2 linked regions of the Astyanax mexicanus genome follow. The protein of the gene in region 2 interacts with the protein of the main gene of each other region in a biochemical or structural test. Links are inferred from orthologs where the notes say so. Each region holds a gene or a part of one and is shown on either strand. Other genes may lie near its edges.

Region 1 (10,988 bases), on a different chromosome or scaffold from region 2:
TCTCAAACAACAACAACTGTTTAAATTTAATTACATAAAATTAGCCTTTTGTACTTAAACTCATTTTGTTGAAATAATAAACAATTCAATTTCTTTCTGTTCTCATGTTTCTTTAACTGAATTTACAATGAATAAATACTGAAATGAAGCCGAGCATTTACAAGAGCAGAGACTGACATGCCAATAAAAATTTAAAAACTATTTTTAATCATTTGAAATTAAAAGAAAATTTTATATAACAGTGAATAAAGATTAAAATAGGTAAAAACTAATCTTGCTATTTAATTGACACTAATAACAACTAGGGTAACATCTAGGGGGGAAAGTTTGATAAAGAACTTCAGGCTTGGAAAAGCGAAAGTTCTATGAGTATACCGATCATCACAGTTCTAACAACAAAAAAAATGCTTGAAATTTTTGATAGAAATGGATCCCTTCAGGGGACGTGTAATTTAGTTTAAAAGTGAAAAATTGACTTTTTTCCAAGGGTTGAAAAGACGTTGGTTTAAAGACTAAACGTCTAATTTAGGCTGACACTAAAAGGTGAAAAGACATTTTTCCAGTGGTTGAAAAGATGAATGTAGACACACATTATTTTTTGGTTAATTAACAGTAAAAACATATTTCATGTAGAAATGTCAATTGTTTATTTTATGTTTAATGATCTTTAAATTTTTATTTAATGCCACTTGTGTATGAAAACCTTTCACCCCCCCCCCCCCCCCCCCCCCCCCCAACAACCTACTGTTGCATAAGAAATTATTTGTAAGCTTATAGCTCTTAACTTTAAAATTTTAAGACATCCATGCTGTCCGTGCCACAACCCCGGACAACACACAAACCTTTCACAAATTGTAACCATGGAAAGTTTTTAAACTTAATGAAAAAAAATATTTATGATTAAAGAACCTTCTCGCTATCTAGTTAGCTAGGTTATCTAGTGTTAAACATGCAACAGTGAGGTTAAAATAGCTTTCACATGTCACCACATTTCAATATTTCAATAAGATCTAAAGAAGTTTCATAAACTTTTATCATACAATTTAAATCTAAACGATGAAACAAAAAAAAAATAACTATATACCATTTGCACTGATCATTCCTCACGGTCGGCCAAACAACTGGCTTTTTAACCTAACCAATCTATGCTAACTAGCTTAATGCTAGTTAACTCGGGCTCAGACTCCAACAAGGGTCCTATTTAACCTGGTTTGGTAGTAATAAAATGACACAAGTTACACAATAAAACTCAAAAATTGCAGAGTGGTGTTTTTTTTTAAACTTTACCTCATCTTAGCCTTATCAGCTAACCAAGCTAAGCTAACTAACCGGGCTAGTGTTAAGCTAGTTTAGTTACCTCAGGCTCTGGATCCACCACAAGTTCTGTTTAACTTAGTTTCATAATAAAAAATAAAATATATCTAGCTAAAGTTACACAGTAAAACCCAATCAATTGTCTTTTTTCCTCACAGTTACACAAAGTGTTGGTTTATTTTATTGGTTTATAACTATAATCTTGGTATCTTGGTATTAGACTTATCAGCTAACTAGGCTAAGCTAACTCGCTAACCGGGCTAGCGTTAAGCTAGTTCAGTTACCTCAGGCTCTAAATCCACCACAAGTTCTGTTTAACTTAGTTTCATAATAAAAAATAAAATATATCTAGCTAAAGTTACACAGTAAAACCCAATCAATTGTCTTTTTTTCTCACAGTTACACAAAGTGTTAGTTTATTTTATTGGTTTATAACTTTGTAATCTTGGTATCTTGGTATTAGACTTATCAGCTAACTAGGCTAAGCTAACTCGCTAACCGGGCTAGTGTTAAGCTAGTTCAGTTACCTCAGTTACCACAAGTTCTGTTTAACCCAGTTTTTTAATAAAAAATAAAATACAGCTAGCAAAAGTTGCACCATAAAACCAGGGAATGCGCTCTTTGCACAACTACTTCCCCATTCTCATCAGTGCTGCTCCAGCGTTTCCTGTTTGGCTTTTCCAATACACTCCTTATGGCAGTATTTTCAGCTGGTGTTTACAAGAGCTTCTAAAAATTAACCTCAACGTCCAGGAGACCAGTAAAGCCCACCACTAGTCTAATAATAATAATAATAATAATAATAATAATAATAATAATAATAATAATAATAATAATAATAATAATAATAATAACATTTATTAGACAAATACTAGCTATAATAATAAAAATGCTGGCTATAATAATGCCAACTATTATAATAATGATAGTAAAAATAATAATAATCACTATAAAAAGAATCATATACATGCTAGCAATAATAATATTAATAACAATAAAAATACTACCTACAATAATAATAATAATAATAATATTAATAACAAAAATAAAAATAGTCAAAATAATAATAATATCTAGCTACAATAATGATAATAATAATAATAATAATAATAATAACAATAATAATAATAACAATAATAATAAATATCTATAATAATAATAAATATCTATAATAATAATAATAATAAATATCTATAATAATAATAATAATAATAAATATCTATAATAATAATAATAATAATGATAATAATAATAATAATAATAATAATAATAATAATAATAATAATAATAATAATAATAAAAATATCTAGCTATAATAAAAATGCTAGGTGGTGGATCATTCAGGCAAGTACGTTTAGCTGATCTCCTCTCCAAATCACGTGGAGCCTGGGTGCTGTCACGTTAATTATTCCATTTAAAAAGCAGTGGCACTGCATGCTTTGCCAGTCGTCTCCAAGCTTCTGACGTTTTTGGTTTAACCAGGTAGTCTGGTATTAAATGTTTGCTACAGACCTTTCATACGGCGAAATGGTGAAGTGGTCCTGACTGATGTTCATCAGTCACTGTTTATTAGATCACTCTGAGCAGGGAAGCTATGAAAGCCTAAAGCTTCCATAAAACTTAGCAGACGCCGTGCAAAAAGGAACACAGCAGTGCTGAAAACGGCTTGAAAACCTCACGCTGGATACTCATTTTGACCTCTTGCTAGTACAAAATGTACGTTTTGCCTATACAGGCGAATGTAAACAATACAACCGGAAACGTCCGAGCCGCAACTTCTGCTACAACCTCAACTACAGGTCCAACAACCACAACCACACCTCCAACGACCTCAACCCCAGCTCCAACATCCTCAACTACAGGTCCAATAACCACAACTACAGCTCCAACAACCTCAACCCCAGCTCCAACAGCCTCAACTACACCTCCAATAACCACAACTTCAGCTCCAACAACCTCAACCCCAGCTCCAACAGCCTCAACTACACCTCCAATAACCACAACTACAGCTCCAACAACCTCAACCCCAGCTCCAACAGCCTCAACTACAGGTCCAATAACCACAACTACAGCTCCAACAACCTCAACCCCAGCTCCAACAGCCTCAACTACAGGTCCAATAACCACAACTACAGCTCCAACAACCTCAACCCCAGCTCCAACAGCCTCAACTACAGGTCCAACAACCACAACTACAGCTCCAACAACCTCAACCCCAGCTCCAACAGCCTCAACTACAGGTCCAATAACCACAACCACACCTCCAACAACCTCAACCTCAGCTCCAATAGCCTCAACTACAGGTCCAATAACCACAACTACAGCTCCAACAACCTCAACCCCAGCTCCAACAGCCTCAACTACAGGTCCAATAACCACAACTACAGCTCCAACAACCTCAACCCCAGCTCCAACAGCCTCAACTACACCTCCAATAACCACAACTTCAGCTCCAACAGCCTCAACTACACCTCCAATAACCACAACTTCAGCTCCAACAACCTTAACCCCAGCTCCAACAGCCTCAACTACAGGTCCAATAACCACAACTACAGCTCCAACAACCTCAACCCCAGCTCCAACAGCCTCAACTACAGGTCCAATAACCACAACTACAGCTCCAACAACCTCAACCCCAGCTCCAACAGCCTCAACTACAGGTCCAACAACCACAACCACACCTCCAACGACCTCAACCTCAGCTCCAACAGCCTCAACTACACCTCCAATAACCACAACCACACCTCCAACAACCTCAACCCCAGCTCCAACAGCCTCAAATACACCTCCAATAACCACAACCACACCTCCAACAACCTCAACCCCAGCTCCAACAGCCTCAAATACACCTCCAATAACCACAACTACAGCTCCAACAACCTCAACCCCAGCTCCAACAGCCTCAAATACACCTCCAATAACCACAACTACAGCTCCAACAACCTCAACCCCAGCTCCAACAGCCTCAAATACACCTCCAATAACCACAACTACAGCTCCAACAACCTCAACCCCAGCTCCAACAGCCTCAACTACACCTCCAATAACCCCAACTACAGCTCCAACGACCTCAACCCCAGCTCCAACAGCCTCAACTACACCTCCAATAACCACAAATACAGCTCCAACAACCTCAACCCCAGCTCCAACAGCCTCAACTACACCTCCAATAACCACAACTACAGCTCCAACAACCTCAACCCCAGGTCCAACAGCCTCAACTACACCTCCAATAACCACAAATACAGCTCCAACAACCTCAACCCCAGCTCCAACAGCCTCAACTACACCTCCAATAACCACAACTACAGCTCCAACGACCTCAACCCCAGCTCCAACAGCCTCAACTACACCTCCAATAACCACAACTACAGCTCCAATGACCTCAACCCCAGGTCCAACAGCCTCAGCTACACCTCCAATAACCACAACTACAGCTCCAACAACCTTAACCCCAGCTCCAACAGCCTCAACTACAGGTCCAATAACCACAACTACAGCTCCAACAACCTCAACCCCAGCTCCAACAGCCTCAACTACAGGTCCAATAACCACAACTACAGCTCCAACAACCTCAACCCCAGCTCCAACAGCCTCAACTACACCTCCAATAACCACAACTACAGCTCCAACAACCTCAACCCCAGGTCCAACAGCCTCAACTACACCTCCAATAACCACAAATACAGCTCCAACAACCTCAACCCCAGCTCCAACAGCCTCAACTACACCTCCAATAACCACAACTACAGCTCCAACGACCTCAACCCCAGCTCCAACAGCCTCAACTACACCTCCAATAACCACAACTACAGCTCCAATGACCTCAACCCCAGGTCCAACAGCCTCAGCTACACCTCCAATAACCACAACTACAGCTCCAACGACCTCAACCCCAGCTCCAACAGCCTCAACTACACCTCCAATAACCACAACTACAGCTCCAACGACCTCAACCCCAGCTCCAACAGCCTCAACTACACCTCCAATAACCACAACTACAGCTCCAACAACCTCAACCCCAGCTCCAACAGCCTCAAATACACCTCCAATAACCACAACTACAGCTCCAACTACATAAACTACAACTACAATCACAGCAACAACTACAGCTGTATCCACTACAACAACCATGCAAGAACAGATCCAGTTCTACCATGAGATTAATTCAAATCCTTAACTACAACTGATACAAGTGTAGACCGTGTTGGTGTGGTATTGAGTACAGTGTGGTTACTGTAGACCGTGTTGGTGTGGTTTTGAGTACAGCATGGTTACTGTAGACCGTGTTGGTGTGGTATTGAGTACAGTGTGGTTACTGTAGACCGTGTTGGTGTGGTATTGAGTACAGTGTGGTTACTGTAGACCAAACACCAACACCAGAAATGAAAACATTGACTGAAGTGACATTGCAGCAACGTTAGAGGAATGTTTAAATACGTTAAAACGATAACGCCGGCTGAACCTTCGACTATGCCTGCTTTACCTCCGAACACATCTGCTGCAACTTTAACTTTTTTTTTTTTCTTTACCTCAGTGTACTGGTTTAAAGTTACTGGTTTAGGAATAATTCATTGCATTTCACAATTATAATTTCATAATTTTTATTTATTTATTTATTTATTTATTTATGATTTATATTATATGAAATAATATTATATTATATTGTAATTAAATTATAATCTTTTTATGTACTATTTATTTATTTTGATTTATATTTCATAATTTCTATATTTTATGTGTTGTTTTATATATAGTTTTTTTATTTTTATATATTTTTTTATTTTGTTAAGCTATGTATTTATTATTTTATTGTATTCTTTTTTACATTAACATATATAATTTGTTGTGAGTGTATGTGGGCGGTTCTTGGTTGCCAGGGCGACGGTGTGTCGTGTTCCGGTGTTTGGCGCGGTGGGGTAGCGCGCATGCGCGGGCTTGGAAGGTAAGTTAGAAGGTTAGCAGCGGAGCTGAACTCCTGAACTCTGAGAGGAATTAAACCCGGAATGGCGCATTACAGGGTGAGTACCGGTCCAAACAGCACCGAACAGAACCGCACAGCGGTACACAGCCCGCCCGGACCCGAACAGCCGCGGAGTTTAGGGGAATTTATGGTATTTATGGTAGTTAATACCGGCGGAGAGATGCAGGAAGCTAAAGCTAATAATTTACCTCAGAACCGCCGCGGGTTCCGACCCAGCTCACAGCTCTTCCCTTCTCCAGAACACCCTCACAGCTCCCGAACCGCGGCCCACAGGTTCCGACCCAGCTAATATACCAGAACCGTCGCGGGTTCCGACCCAATGCAGCCCGTTTTACAGCTCCAGAACCCAGCTCAACTCTACCGACCACCTTAACCAGTTTAATTACTACTAATTACCTGTCCAGATACTAATTACCAGTGTAGATACTAATTTCCAGTTTAGATACTAATTTCCAGTGTAGATACTAATTACCAGTTTAGATTAGGGGTGGGCGACATGGCTCTAAAATAATATCACGATATTTCAGGGTATTTTTGCAATAACGATATACTTGGTGATATAGGAAAACAGAAATAATTTGTTAATTTTAGTAATATAGTATAATAGTATAACAGTATAATCATAATGTGGCAAAATAAATAATATAGCATAAAATAATATAATCCAGCAAATAATATAGCAGAATATTTAGTGCATGCATATAAACTGCAAACTAAAACAATTATACAATAAATACACCTAAAGCTTCACAGTAAATAATAGACTACTTTTAAGACAGAACAGCCCTGTTATCACGATATGGATTTTTATATCATGATATTTCTGTGTCACGATATATTTTATACGATGTAATATTGCCCACCCATAGTTTAGATAGTAAATTTCAGTTCAGATGCTAATTACCTTTGTATATAGTGATTACAAGTGTAAATACTAAATACCAGTGTAGTGTAGATACTAATTACTTTAAATACTAAGGACCCATTAGGGGTGGGCAATATTATGTCGTATACAATATACCCTAAATTTCCTTCGGGATAAATAAAGTATCTATCTATCTAGTGACAGAAATATCATGATATTAAAAATCCATATCGTGATAATAGGGCTGTTCTGTTTTAAAAGTAGTCTATTATTTACTGTGAAGCTTTAGGTGTATTTATTGTATAATTGTTTTAGTTTGCAGTTTATATGCATGCACTAAATATTCTGCAATATTATTTGCTGCATTATATTATTTTATGCTATATTATTTATTTTTATCAGATCTTTACCTGCCTGTATAACCAGACCCCTCCCCCCACTGCACACCTGTGTCTGAGCCAGCTCACCTGATCCCACGATAAGTGATGATTATCTGACCAGTCCTTCACCTGCGCCTTTATTTTTTTTTTCTAACTGCGTTTTGTGTGTAGAAGTGCTGAGTGAAATAAATATAAATAAAGAATTCTGGTCTGATGCTGTTATACACATTTATAACTTAAAGAGAGACTACACACACCGGTACAACTTTATAACTTTATCAATTTATTGAAAATATATTAAAATTAGCTTAAATCAATGCATTTCACATATACATATAGTTATACATAGTTTTTTTTCCCAGATTATCAAACAAACATGAAGATAATCTGAGTAAATATAGGAATCACTTTTAAAATGATAATTTCATTTATTATGGGAAAAAAACAGGCCTGATAACTGCCAGAACTGCACTATCAAGAGATCACTTCATGTCTGGGTATCTGTTCGTGACCTCAAGCTCAGGAGTACTTGGGTTCTGCAGCAGGACAATGAACCAAATCACACAAACAGCAAGTTCACTGTCTCTGAATGGATTAATAAACTAAATGAAGGTTCTGGAGGGTTAAAGTCTGATTGAGATTGAGTATTATTGTTAATTTATGTATTTATTATATGAATGATGTGTTTCAGGCTGCAGAGTCGAAGCGTGAGCAGTTCAGGAGGTACCTGGAGAAAGCTGGAGTTCTGGACAGTCTCACTAATGGTGTGTTCTGCTCTATACAGCTCTATCTGTTATAGTTATAGATGTATACAGCTCTGAAAAAAAATAAGATTCCACTTATGATGATGATCACAAACCATCAAACCACCAAACTGAACTGCTTGAATTTTTGCACCAGGAGTAAAGCAGCATAAAGTTATCCAAAAGCAGTGTGTAAGACTGGTGGAGGAGGAGAACATGATGCCAAGATGCATGAAAAAAACTGTGATTAAAAACCAGGATTATTCCACCAAATATTGATTATTTCTGAACTCTTAAAACTTTATGAATATGAACTTGTTTTCTTTGCATTATTTGAGGTCTGAAAGCTCTGCATCTTTTTTGTTATTTCAGTCATTTCTCATTTTCTGTAAATAAATGCTCTAAATGAGAATATTTTTATTTGTAATTTGGGAGAAATGTTGTCTGTAGTTTATAGAATAAAACAACAATGTTCATTTTACTCAAACATAAACCTATAAATAGCAAAATCAGAGAAACTGATTCAGAAACTGAAGAAGAGCTCTCTATTATAGAGAGCTTTGTATAATACTATATTCCGTATATTTTTGTAGAGTGTTCCGTCACTAATCATTTCCCCTTTTCTAACAGTGCTGGTGGCTCTGTACGAGGAGACGGATAAACCCAACAATGCTCTGGAGTATCCTTTATCCTCTGCTGGGTTACATGTAGAGCTTTATATCACAATTACATTGTTTTACTCAATACTATATAAATAAAGGGCACACCTTAACAAATTCACTTTTAAATGAAATTATCCAACATCTCTGCTGGATTTTCTCAGTCAGTTTTATGAGGTAGAGTCACCTGGAATTCAGGCTTTCAGTTAACAGCTGTGCTGAACTCATCAAGAGTTAATTACTTGAATTTCTTGTCTCTTAATAAAGTGTTTGAGAGCATCAGTTAAAGTAAAGTAGTTAAGAGGTAGAGTTACAGGTATACAGTGAATAGTGAATATTTGAGTAATGTTCTAATCCAGATTATGAGAAGCAACAACTACTCAACTAAATAAAGAATAAATTACGTTAAGAAGAAATGAAGGTCAGTCATTTAAAAAAAAAGAAGAATTTCAACAACTGATAATGATGAAACTGGCACTTATCAGGACTGTATATGAAAGGAAGAGCGAGAGTTTCCTCTGTTGTACAGGATAAGTTTATCAGAGTTTAATCTAAATACTTCACAGAGTATTTTGGTTTGTTTAACACTATTTTTAAGTTACTACATGATTCATTATGTGTTCCTTCATAATCTGATACATCACTTTACTATTCATTTACTGTGTAGGAAAGCTGTGTCCAAACTTTTGACTTGAGTAAAGTATCTGTACATTACTCTAGTTTCCAGTTATTAATATCAGAACTCTGGAATTAATGCACTCCTCAGAGATACGATAAATACAGATATCCAATTATTGTCCAGTTCTATTCAGATGGTTGTTAGATAAGGTAGTATGGAGTTAAATTAGTGCTAAATCTATGCAAATAAAGAAAACATATTCTGTAAATATTATACTACCTGCAATGATACACAACACATGTTATATTTCTTTAAGAGCAATGTATTAGAAAAACTGAACGCTGTGTATTTATTTAAAGGTTGCATATATATATATATTTATATGTTTACATATATATTTGTAAAACACACCCTGTGTGTTAGATAGTTGTGTTTTATATTTGTAAAGCGAGTTGTGTTTGTTTGCAAGTAGTATAATATTTAAAAATAAGTTTTCTTTATTTGCGTAGTTTTAGCACTAATTTAGCTTCATAAGGTCAATCAATCAATCTTTATTTTAACTCGGATGTACATTGAGGAAAACCCTCATTTTTAATGTAGCCGAGCATTTACAGAAACAGGGATGGCAGAGAAAATAAGAGCAAAATGTAATTATTTTAAAATAACGGTATATAGTGTGTAAAAATAGATACAAAAATAAAAATGTAATTAGAATAAAATACAAATAATAATTAAAAGGTAGTGTTGGCAGGGTGTGATGTCTGTAATTGTGAGCGGGCAGGTACCTGAGTTCCCGAGAGAAGCGTTGTGGTCCTGAGTCAGATCTCCCGCAGGTTTATACGGCTGCACCTGAGCACAGGTGAGCCGGACTCCGGCGACGTGGAGACGCTGTGTCTGGAGCTGACGGAGCTGCAGCAGAAATACGACGCTCTGCTGGAGGAGAACCGAGACCTGAAGAACCGGGTAAAGCTGATTATACACTAGATAACTTCAAACAGACTCCGAAAAAAGACGTTAAAAGACTAAGTTCTGATTCTCATTCACATCTAAAGACTAACGCTACGTTCACATTAGCAGGCTAAAGTGACTCAAATCTGATTTTTTCACGGTTGTGTGAACATGCCAATTATGATTTCTTTTTTTCTTTTTTTTCACAAATCAGAATTAAGTCACTTTAGCTACATTCACATTAACAGGCTAATGTGACTTAGATCTGATTTTCTGATTCATGGTTGTGTGAATGTCACTTTGACTACGTTCACATTACCAGGATTAAATTGACTCAAATCAGATTTTTTAATAATAATAATAGGCTCAGGTCTAATTTTTTTTCACGGTTGTGTGAACGTACCAAATCTGTTTTTTTTTTCTTCAAGTCATTTTGACTTTACCAAGATAAAGTGATTTTTTGATCAATGTGGATC
Region 2 (11,265 bases):
CAGTTTTGTGTATTTATGTCCCTCCAGTTCACATCCACAGAAATCAGAACCTGGGGTTCTATATAGAGGCATGCATTATGGCAAAAAACAGATTTGATTCACTTCAGCCTGGTAAAGGGTTATAAGTGATGTTAGACTTTGTGAGCATTTTTAGCGTCTACCTCACTGCATAACTGTTGTATCATGAGCCACCTTCTGGCTGATAAGGGTATTAAAACCAGTTTCTATGACTGACAAGATTTAATTGCAAATTTCTGCGTGATTTTTTTCGTGAAAAGGGGATGGATGATATTGCAAAAAATGATTACTGTGAAAATCAGTATACATTAAACCCACTCCTATTAGGAGCAACCTATTTACATTGATATTTATAATAATTTTGAATTATTACTTTTTTCCCCCGTTAGTAGACAGTGCCATTGTGCTACATTGATTTATGTTGTGGCCTTTAGCAGGTGCTCTTATTGAGAGTAACTTAGAAAAGTGCTTCGTCATTCACTCAGAACATCCAAAGCTCATATTGGTGCTTTAAGATTTGATACTACCACACAATATGAGCCAAGCAACCCATGTTTAATTTCACTGAATGGACCTTAAATTTTTAATGTTTGGCACATATTTAATTGTAATAAAAGTGATATTCAGTTATGATAAATAATGTCCACCCTTTTTACACGAGTACAAAGTTTTTAGATAGGCCAAGCGCAATTTAACTAAACTGTAGAAATGTGAATTAGAGAGATTGTTTTTCTTTGGCTCTCTTCGCACCTCTGTCAGCATCCAGGTAAAAGACTGTTGCATAATATCTAATAGTCTGTATATCTAACTATAAAATCTGTATAGCTAACTATACACTAAATGGACAAAAGTATCTGGATACATTCTCATTTGTTGTTTCTTTTTTCTTATTTGTTTTTTATCCGTTCAATGTTCTTAAAAGAAATTTGAGGAACTGTCTCTAATTTCCAGGGAAGGCTTAGGTCATTATGATCATGTTAAGAGATCACTACCCCACCTGATCCTCTCTCTCCAACTCCCAGACTCATTCCTAAAATACTGGATGGAGCACCATCATTCCAGAAAACACAGTTCCACTGCTCCACAGCTCAATGCTGGATGGCTTTAAACCCCTCTTGCCTAGCCCACACCTGCCAGTAGGCATGATGGCTGTAGGTTAATTTAATTCCTACAGAGAGTCCTATTAGCAGTACTTCTTTGCACATCTGTATTATCAGCAACTTTAGGAGGCAACTTTATGAAGCTGAATGGACTCATTAGAAGAGGTGTCCACAAACAGAATTTAAATTGGACACATTTTAGTGTCCATTCATGTCCTCTTGCTTGGTAGGAATGTGTGGAGTTTGACCTGTATACTTTGTGTCTCCTCCTCCTTCTCCTTCTCCTGCAGGTATTGATAAAGAGAACGTGGAGCTCTCCCCTACCTCCAGCCTGTGCAGCGGCAGCCGAGCGCGTCACGGTTCAGCCAGCCAGGTGCAGAAACAGCGCAGCGCTGGCAGCTTCAAACGTACCAGCATCAAGAAGATCGTCTGAACACGCTCCGAGACCAAGCTGTGCATTCAGGAGGCTGCATTAATTACCTTTCTGCATAAATCGTTTCTGTTGCTCCGTCGACCAGTCTGAGAAGGTTCCTTGCGTTTGAGCTTCATTTTGTTTGTTAAGGAAGCCAGAAATGGAAGAACAGTGTTTACTACCTGTGTGTTTGCATGTGTGGAACAGCGATCTAAGAGGCGAGGTGTGATGGGCCTGAACCTCTCTCTGCACTACAGTTCAGAATCGGCTCTCTTAAGAAGCTTTGACTGGTGCATGAAGAGAAAACGTTGTAAACTGCGTAGTATCTCTGTGCAGTTAGCATCCTTTTTTCCCCTGATGGCTTTTCAACTTCTGCTTTGAAAGTCAGGGGAGCCTGAGGGAACACTCAAGCGAGGATGAAGACACTGTCTGCTGTTTTCTCCTAATCTTCAGCAACGGCACAAGATTGTGTGCAAACTGTATGTATGAGGAACAAGCTTCAAATGTTCTCTACGGTTTTTTGAGACCGAACACTTGAGACTGTAGGCCTCAAGGAAGCTTCTGGAAGAATTTTAAATATAAATATATATATATATATATATATATATATAAACAACCACTACAACACCTGACCAAAACTGACTGTGGAGAAAGACAACCTCAAAGTGTTTGGCAGGATTTTGCTTGGATCCTTTTGTCCTGAGAATTAGCCAAACCTGGTGATCTGAGGATATTCACAGTTAAGCTTGATCCAGGTCTAGACTGGCAATTGGATGTCATTCTAATACCAAGCAGATATGTGTTTGGTGTGTGTGTATATACGGAAACGATAGAGACGACGACGATGATGATTATGATGATCACACATTTTGGGTTGCCGTTTTGTCCATTGTGTGCCTTTGTCAGGATTATCAGCTGTGTATAGTTTGTAATATAAGCTGAGGAAGGGAAAAACAGGTACTACTTATATAGAGAAGTGTTCTTCTTCACATATACATATGTCCATACTTTGCTGCACTGTAAAGAAGTAAAAACGATCATATGTTCTTCAAATATATAAGTGTCATTACTTGCTGCATTTACTGTAGATATTTATTCTGTCCAGGTAGATAACTCAAATTAAATGAAGATAAATAGCTCTTATTCGCTGTTCTCCTATAATAACAACCAATTATCATTCAAAAATAATATTAACAATTAAGAACAGTCATATACTGACAAGAGTGCTACAGCTAACTGACTGTCACATGATTCCTGTAGTCATTGTGACAATGATAAAAGTGATAAAACATGAGTGACTATTTGAGAGCTTTTGAAGATATTTAGCTTCAGCTTAGTCTCGAAGTTATGGTGTGCCACCAGTAATTTATATTTTTTCTGTTTAGTTTCAATACAAATATGCTGTGTATGTTGTTTGGTCTATTTTTAGGTTTATTGTGTTTTCAAAGGGTGGGCATAGGTTAAGACAGAAAGGGAGATGAGGTGGTCTGTGTGCGCACCATTACTGGAGCACAGCATCCATCAGATCCATTATCCATCAGTATTAATCTGTACCAGGCCCCCACCCCCCCACCCTAAGTTCCAGGATATCAAGAGGGAGGCATAGTGATATTGCACCAAAGGATAAATCGCAAGAAGAAAAGAATGGACATGTTGTGAAAACACCTTGTTTCTTTTTCTCAAATTCTTCTAGATCTTCTCATATGTTTACCATTGTAGGTTATATATGTCTATTATGATGACACCTTCTTCTTCCAAAATGGTTTTGGGTTTGTTTTCCAGGCCGTTGTTGCAAAGAAGGTTCTGTCTTGTAGCTACTATTTACACTGCATGCTTCATGTTCATGCCCCCCATCCCTCCACCCATTTCTATGGGTGCATTAAGACTAGTGTGCCGTTTCACTCACATTCATTCATTGTAAGCAAAATACCACTACAGTTTACTCAAAATAACGAACGCACATGACTTGAGGAGGTTAGCTGATGACGTGCAATATTCTCTGTTCGTACACGCACCACTTTTTCTTTCTTTTTCCAGAAGATAAGGTGGAAATCTCATGACTATACACTATCATACTATATTTTTTCTTTATTTTCTCACTGACAGTGTCTTTTTCTTTTTACTTTTCTTTTATTTTTTTTAAAGGGAAATCGCACTACAAAAGAAAAAAGAAGGGGATCAGCCTTCTAATGCGTGAAGCATTACCGACTTCTTTTTTAAGGAAACCAAAGTCACTTATCTGTTGATTACAATTGGTTGTAATATTAGTTTTCTGCCCTTCAACCACTAAACCTATTCCTATATATCTCAAACCACTGCATCTCCTAAGCATTAATTGCCTTAGTAAAGGGTTTATTCTCTTGTGTCACTTGTGATTAGTCAGTCTAGTTTTGACAGTTATAACAGTGCCTCCTGCTTTTCTTTCTTAATTGGGACCAAATCCGTCCTGCTTTCTCATTTTTCTATTGTGTTTTTTGTTGTTTTTTGTTTATTTTGTTTTCCTTTATTATGTAATCCATGTAGCTTCAGTATTTTATGTTTTCCATTTTGTTACCCTGTTGTCTGTACATAAGTACCATTTTAGAGTGCAAGAGTAGTAGTACCGATAGTTCAAGATGGTGACTATGCCGAGGCTGTCCAATGAAACATTGTACAATTTTTTTTATTCACATTTTAATAACACCTACTACACCTCATGCAAAGGATTGATATGTGGGTGAAAGATGAGTTTCAACTAACCAAGACTGTAATCTATCTATCTATCTTGCGCTTTCTAAATCCCTCCTAGTTCCACATTCATTCACTAATCCCAGGCTTTGGCTTGATGGTACACAGCTAAATTAAATTGTGTAAGTAAAGTTCTCAGGATATATGGAAGCCTAATATGTACAGCTATAGATGGAGGTACGATGTAGGGGATGGCCTGCTGTTCTCTGCAGTTCATTGGAAGCATGCTTGCCCTCCTGCCTTTGGAAATGTGTGTGTGTGTGTGTGTGTGTGTGTGTGTGTGTGTGTGTAAGAGAGTGTGTGAGAAGTATGATGTAAGATAAGTCTTGCTCATTTTGTGTCACACCTTGTGGTTAAGGAGCACTGCGTACATTGAAAAGAAGTAAAAATGTTTATTATATAATGCGAAGCTGTGTTTGGTTGAAGCATTTACCACATTTTAATTGCACCAGTCATCTGTAAACAGCACATTTGTCATTTGTAAATATTTTTGTGTAAAATTGGAAGTTATATGATTGTAAATATGACATTGTATTGCTTTTTTGTAAAGCAGTTAGTTGCTGTACATGTATAACATGGCAATTTAAATATACCTGTGTTCATAATAAAAGTTGTCCACCACCCTGTCACAGTAACATTAAATGTGGTATTATTTCTGTCAAGTCTATACTATACTATATGTTACCCCACACACTTTTTTGTGTGAGGCTGTTTTTTTATTGACATTATATAATAATAAAAAAAACAGCTATACTGGCAACGTATTAATTTGATTAAGTTTGGCACCACCTTTCCTCTCATTCACTTTTTAACACAGCCTGGTGAACTATTATCATCTTTATTTAGCGATGTAAACACAGTGATGCTACGGTTACAATCAGAGGTCGATTATATTTTAATTAAGATTAAATAAAATCTGTCTGTATGAAGGTTGGTAAAGCTGGAATATTAAGGAGTTACATACCACAATACACTATTATTATTATTATTTATTTATTTATTTATTTTTTTACCCCAAAAATACTGGGAAGTGCCATTTGAACTTACTTAATGGATTTAATCAGAATTAATAATTTTTTTTTTATTATTCCTACCATTTTTTAACCATTACTAAAAATATGATTTACTAACTACATTAATGTATACATAGTCATGTAATGGGTAAAGAACCACAAAGATAATACAAGTTTAATAATTGTGCAAATGTATTCACTTCTGATGTCTCTATGAATTTATTTATTTTATTTTTATGTATATATTTATTTTTATTCTTATCTTAATATCTGCCCATTTTAATAACACCAGAACAATCAAGAAATGTAGAAAATTCTATAACTGTGTCGGAAATATAATTAATGCTGCATACTCAGTCATGTCTGAGTACATGTTTAGTTTCTGACAGTTTTCTTCAAACACTTCTCAGCAATTTTGTAGTGCTTTTTAAAATCTTAACAATACATTATATTCACTATGTAGTTTGCTAAAAAAGCACCCAAAATGTTGTGTAAAGATGGTTTTGTTGTTTGATCGTTCCCTAATCATAGTAAATGCTACATAATGAATAGTGCGTAAACCATTTCAAACACACTTAGGGTCTCCGGAATGTTTTTCTGACAGCTTTTGCTGGTTAACCTAAGATCCCTGAAGATCTGTGAGGCAGCCAATGGCGCTGATGCAAGATATACTGTGAACATGGAGATATCAGAATGCAGTATTTAGCCCTATCCGGATGGGATTAGTTTCTCAGGGGGGGTGTCTGTGTAAAATATTTTACACTTTTACTCAGTGATAAAACTCTTTCATCTGGACTGCAATTAAAAACAAACAAACAGGAGAAACAGTGAGTTCTTCGGCTTTCTCAATCACGACATCGCATTCAGTAGCTCCTCCATTTCCACTCGTTCTTGTGTTTACGTAGATCTTCGTGGAAGCGCGTGCCCAAAGTGTAATTACTGTGCATGGCAGTGGACAAATAGCTATTTTATAAAACGCAAGGAGACAAAAATCAGAGATGTGCGTCCAGACCGGAATAAAATTACCAGAGGACCACAGAGTGCAGCGGAAAACAGTAGGTAATTCAGCCTGTAAGGACTAATTTCTTAACATCTCTACTTTATTTATTTTACTTCTGCTCAAGCACATTTGTGAGGTAAGGAATGTAGCTACTTCTTACTTTTTTATTATTATTAATTAATGACCTTTAAATACTAATTCCTTTAGATGTTCTATGTTTCATTCTGCTTCTATTGTAGCTAATAGCCAACACACCTTTGTGCTTTGTGAAGTTTGGAAACCTTCTGTGGGAGCCTCGCGAGAGCCAAGGAGTAGCGCAGTTGTCGCGAGATTTGATCAGCTGGTGCGTCTGTGTTTTAGTGTGCTTCGGTCGGTCAACACGTGGGGAGGAGAGCGAGAAAGACACACAGAGAGAAAGACACTGAGCACAGGGACACGGCCGGGGTGTGCTGGGCCCAGAGGACAGAGGAACAGTAGCGGAGCTTTATTTATACGGGTGTGCGGTTCACCGTGGCGGCGAGAAGGACGTGCAGACACGGTGAGTGTGCACTGCTCTGTACGGTGGAGAGTCGGGCTCAAACCGGGGGACACTGGCGCTAGCTAGCTAGCTAGCTGCTTAACATAGCCCGCTAGCGCATTGCTCTTCTGTACATAGCTAGGCTAGTGCCTCAGGGTTGCCCTCTACTTTATGTAGCTGGCGGGGATGTTAGCGAACACTAGCAATCATCATGTTTTCTTTTTTCTGTTACTATTTTCTTATGTTGTCTGTATGATTAGTGACATTTAGTTAGCTAACGCTATCTGTCTTATGCTCCAGCGCCTCTCAGCAGCTAAAACAGAACTGTTAGATAACTAATTATGGCTCCCCAGCCAACACACGACTTGGCTGCTTAAAGCTGTCTCACTTTGCAGCCCAGTCAGAGTGTTAGAGCTAGTTTAACTAATGACAGGGCTTTCTAATTTTAGCATTCATTGTTAGCTAGCTAACCTAGGTTAGCTATCATATATAGGTTAGTTATCCTAAGTTATAATCCTAGTCAAGCTAGTTAGCTATTTAAGCTAGTTTGACAGTTTTATAATTTAATATAACGTTAATATTACCAGGTTATAATTTTTCAGTGTAAAGTAGCCTTAGCGTAGCTAGCTTCAGTTATGTTAGCCAGCTAGCTATGAACAGTCAGGACTCGTTCATTTACGCAACATTAATATTTAGCTATTAAGCTAAGCTAGCCCAGTTCACATTGTGTCTGTGTGTGGTGCAGGGCTGGAGCTTATTGACGTTAAATAATAGGAACGGTAGCTAGCTAATATGAGTAGTAACTTTCATAACCTATATATATATATATATATATATATATATATATATATATATATATATATATATATATATATATATATATATATATATATATATGCTTATACATCAACCGCTAACTTATATAGTTACTTAGGTTGACCTCAACTCGAGTAGTTCACAATATAACAAATGTAACTAGTAAAAGGATAAAGCTGCACAGAAAATATGACCTAGCTAAATAGTTAACTAACGTTACATGGCTAAAATGCGTTTAACGCATGGAGCGACCCTCTCTCACACGCACACACACACTATTACTGCAGCGCTTAAAACTCAAACACGTTCAGCGGAACGAAGCTCGTGATTGGGCACGCGTGCTGCTGTAGGTATAGCTAACCTAGCTAAAAGCTGTCATTTACAGACAGATTTAAGCGAGAATCCACTTGATGGCTGTCGATCATTAGGCTCGTGAAGTAAGTTGGCCATGCCGTTCAAAGTCACGCAGCGCTGTGGCTTTTAGCTGCTTCTGGATGACCTCTCTCTCTGTGCAGCTAATGGCTCTTTCTGCACGGTATTAATTCATCCAGCGCTTTTCGGCCTTCCGTTAGCTACTGTAATAAACACGCTGTAGGTCAAAATGAAGCAGTTAACGTTAGCCAGCCAGGTACTTAGCGCTAGCTAGCAGCCCGCTCATGCAGCTTGCCCCACTTATTAGCTAAAGCTGAACGGCGGACATAGCTTGCTAACATGTTAGCTAGCTAGATAACTATGATAGTCTGTACTCGTTTGTTTTCCATTTTCATGCAGTTTTTGTGACTGTAATGTCAGTCGTGCTTAACAGTAGCCAGTTGGCTAATAGCTTAGCCCGCTAACGCAACCACACTGAAGTTTGCTTCTTGTTCGTTAGCTCGCGTTAACTTAGTTAGCTAGCGTCTTGTAGGAGCTGTTCGGTCCACCTTAACTCCTAGGTTATATTTTTAAAACTCATTGTAACACTTTTTATTTTCTTCTTAGTTTAACGTTAGTTTATTTGTTAGTTATTTGTTGTAGGTAACGTTAGTTATATTTGCATTCTTTTGGTCCACAGTTTTAGCTTCATTTTACTTTTCTTGGTTGATTTTGTTTGTAGGCCTGTCACAATATTTGTTCTCGATTTATGGTATCGATATAAATAGTTAAGCTGCATCATCTATGGTTTATTTAAGTTAGTTTTCTGAAGATGAGCTGGTCAGCACTGTAATTATGGTGTAATTGCATATTGTTGCATTATGTTGTACTACATTACATTAGTGGCAAAAATATTATTATTGTTATTGTGACAAGTTTTTTTTTGTAATTTTGTCCTTTCTTGGACCTTTCTTGTTTTAATAATTTTCACCCTCTTGTTTTGAAGATACATTTCCTTTTTTTTCACATTAGTGGCATAACATTATCAGTTTGGCAGCATTATTGTTTATTACAATAGTGAATAACAGCATGTCGCACGAAAATAGTTATTGTGACGGGCCTTTTATTATAATTTAGGCTTTTTAAACCTATTTGTTTAAAATATTTTCCCCTCCTGTTTTAAATCTGCATTTTTTTAAATCTTTTTGATCATTAGTGACATAACTGATTAATTTGGCAGCATTATTGTTTATTACAACAGTGGTTAACAACATATAACAAAATAGTTATTGTGAAAGGCCTTTATCATTTAGGCTTTTTTTTTTGTTGATAATTTAATAATTTTTTTCTTTTGTTTTAAAGTCACCTTTTCATCTTGTTTTATTAGATAAATCTCAATGTGATATTTTTTCTTTACAAACTCACAGAATGAAATATATATTTTTATTTTATCTTTTTCTTTCAATCCCTGTCTATTGTAAATGTACCTTCAGGTAAAAATCCAGATTAAGTGAGTGAGTGGGTGCGTGAAATGCTGTAATAGCGCATGCGCAGGGCAGTGAACAGTCGGAGGCATTTAAGGTAGACTGGACAGTTTGAATGAGAAGTCAACTTTGGCTTCGTGCTAGTTAGCTAACCTAGCGCACATGTAGCAGCGCAACCTCGAGGTAACAGACCCACACAACCATATGCGCCAGATGCCCGTCTTAATTTCGACCCTGCACAGCTCTATCAGGAGATAGGTTTGTTGTAGATAGGCTAACCTATTTCTTTACAGTCTCTCTGTCTGGTTACTGTTGATGTTGGTCGTGTTTATTGAGAGATTAGCGAAACGATAAGTGTCATTTTCTCCAGCAGTGTGAGGGAGAGCACGGCGGGCTGTGTGCTGCTTGGTGCGTATATTAGCTAGCAGAGGCTCAGTGCGGCTGTTTTGTATTCTAAACGCGGACACGCTAACTGGCTAATAAGCAGCTTAAGACGCTTCTTCCAGTCGCAGTGCTCGCTCGGCGTGTTTGTATCGTGTGTGAGAAGTGTGAAGTCCGGTGACCCCCGCCGTTATCTCCCCCCAAGGTCGTACAGCGGCGCTCCGTGATTCCTGACTCCCTGCGTGCAGTAAAGCGCCCAGGCCCCTGATAACAGCCAAGCCTGCGGCCGGCAGACACTTCACACGCCGTTTATTTAACCTCCTCGAAGGTGAACGGTTTGGCTTTGGCAAAACAAGCACTGGCATTTTCTGTTGTCCAAATTGCGCACGCTCAGGAGTCTCTCTCTGCAGCCTGAGACATGTGACTGCTCTCACACTGAGAGGGGGACTCTCCTGTATGACTGCCATGAGGAGATCCATCCATCCATACATACATACAGAAGAAGGTCCATACATACAGGAGGTCAACGGTGTAGATTAACAATTAAGGATAATCAGGATTGGATGTCAGCGTGAAGTTTTAATTATTAATGGAAATTTAGCTGCGTTCGATTACTGCTTATATAGAATAAATATATTAGACTTCAGCAGTGAGAATGAAAATTACAGGGCATTTTACAGTATATTATAGAGATTTAATGATCTCATGATACCATGATTCTGCAATACTCAATATATTGCAGTCATTCATTCCACGTGGAGTAATGAAGCAGTAACAAAAGACAGAATTAATTTCTCAGGGGATCCTGGGGTAATTTTCTTTTTTTATAGGGGTAATTTTAGTACTGTCCGGATATCTGAGTTTTGTTTCCTTGTATTTAATAAAATAGAATCTGTCTACTGCTATACATCGTAGGTACACTTTGGACATGCGTTTCCACAAAGAGCCACTTAAACACAACAGCGAGTGGAAATGGAGGAGCTACTGAACACGATGACGTGACTGAGAAAGCCAAAAAACTCACTGGTCCTCCTGCAAGAGTTTTATCAGTAGAAGTGTGAAGTGTTTTTCACTGATGTCCCCCTGAGATACTAATCTTTTCCGGATAGGGCTTTAGTCAAATTAGGTGGTGAGTCTTAGGGAGTTTAGAGTGCCTATTTTCAATAAAAACATAGATGTTTGACATCCCATGTAAATATAGTATTACAAACAAAAACAGTACAATGTTGTGTCTTTACATTTGGCCAACAGTTTAGAATGTCACTTCACAAAGTTAAGAATACAGCATCATAATTTGTTTGCATGAAAAAACTGTAAAGAATTGCAACTCCATTTGTTTCTTTGTTTCTCCCATAAAAATACTGGTCATTTTTCGCATTCATCTGCTATCATGAACACAGAGTTAGCAGTCTTGCACATAGGCTTCTATTGATGCATTTTGGTGTG

What was found.
Region 1: the proteins of akap1b (region 2) and C-Myc-binding protein form a complex in vitro, tested with the Homo sapiens proteins (2 studies listed by BioGRID). The link is inferred for Astyanax mexicanus from reciprocal best matches to the Homo sapiens genes AKAP1 and MYCBP.

The regions. Positions count from the first base shown.
Region 1 is NW_026040049.1:698,768-709,755, forward strand, and holds the start of C-Myc-binding protein, read left to right. Parts: upstream 1-6,210; 5' UTR 6,211-6,320; coding exon 6,321-6,335; intron 6,336-8,234; coding exon 8,235-8,307; intron 8,308-8,916; coding exon 8,917-8,965; intron 8,966-10,397; coding exon 10,398-10,527; intron 10,528-10,988. UniProt on the Homo sapiens protein: May control the transcriptional activity of MYC. Stimulates the activation of E box-dependent transcription by MYC.
Region 2 is NC_064425.1:18,459,400-18,470,664, reverse strand, and holds the start of akap1b (A kinase (PRKA) anchor protein 1b), read left to right. Parts: upstream 1-6,633; 5' UTR 6,634-6,808; intron 6,809-9,633; exon of another isoform or gene 9,634-9,696; intron 9,697-11,265. Other genes in the region: nf1a (neurofibromin), read left to right, coding at 1,409-1,551.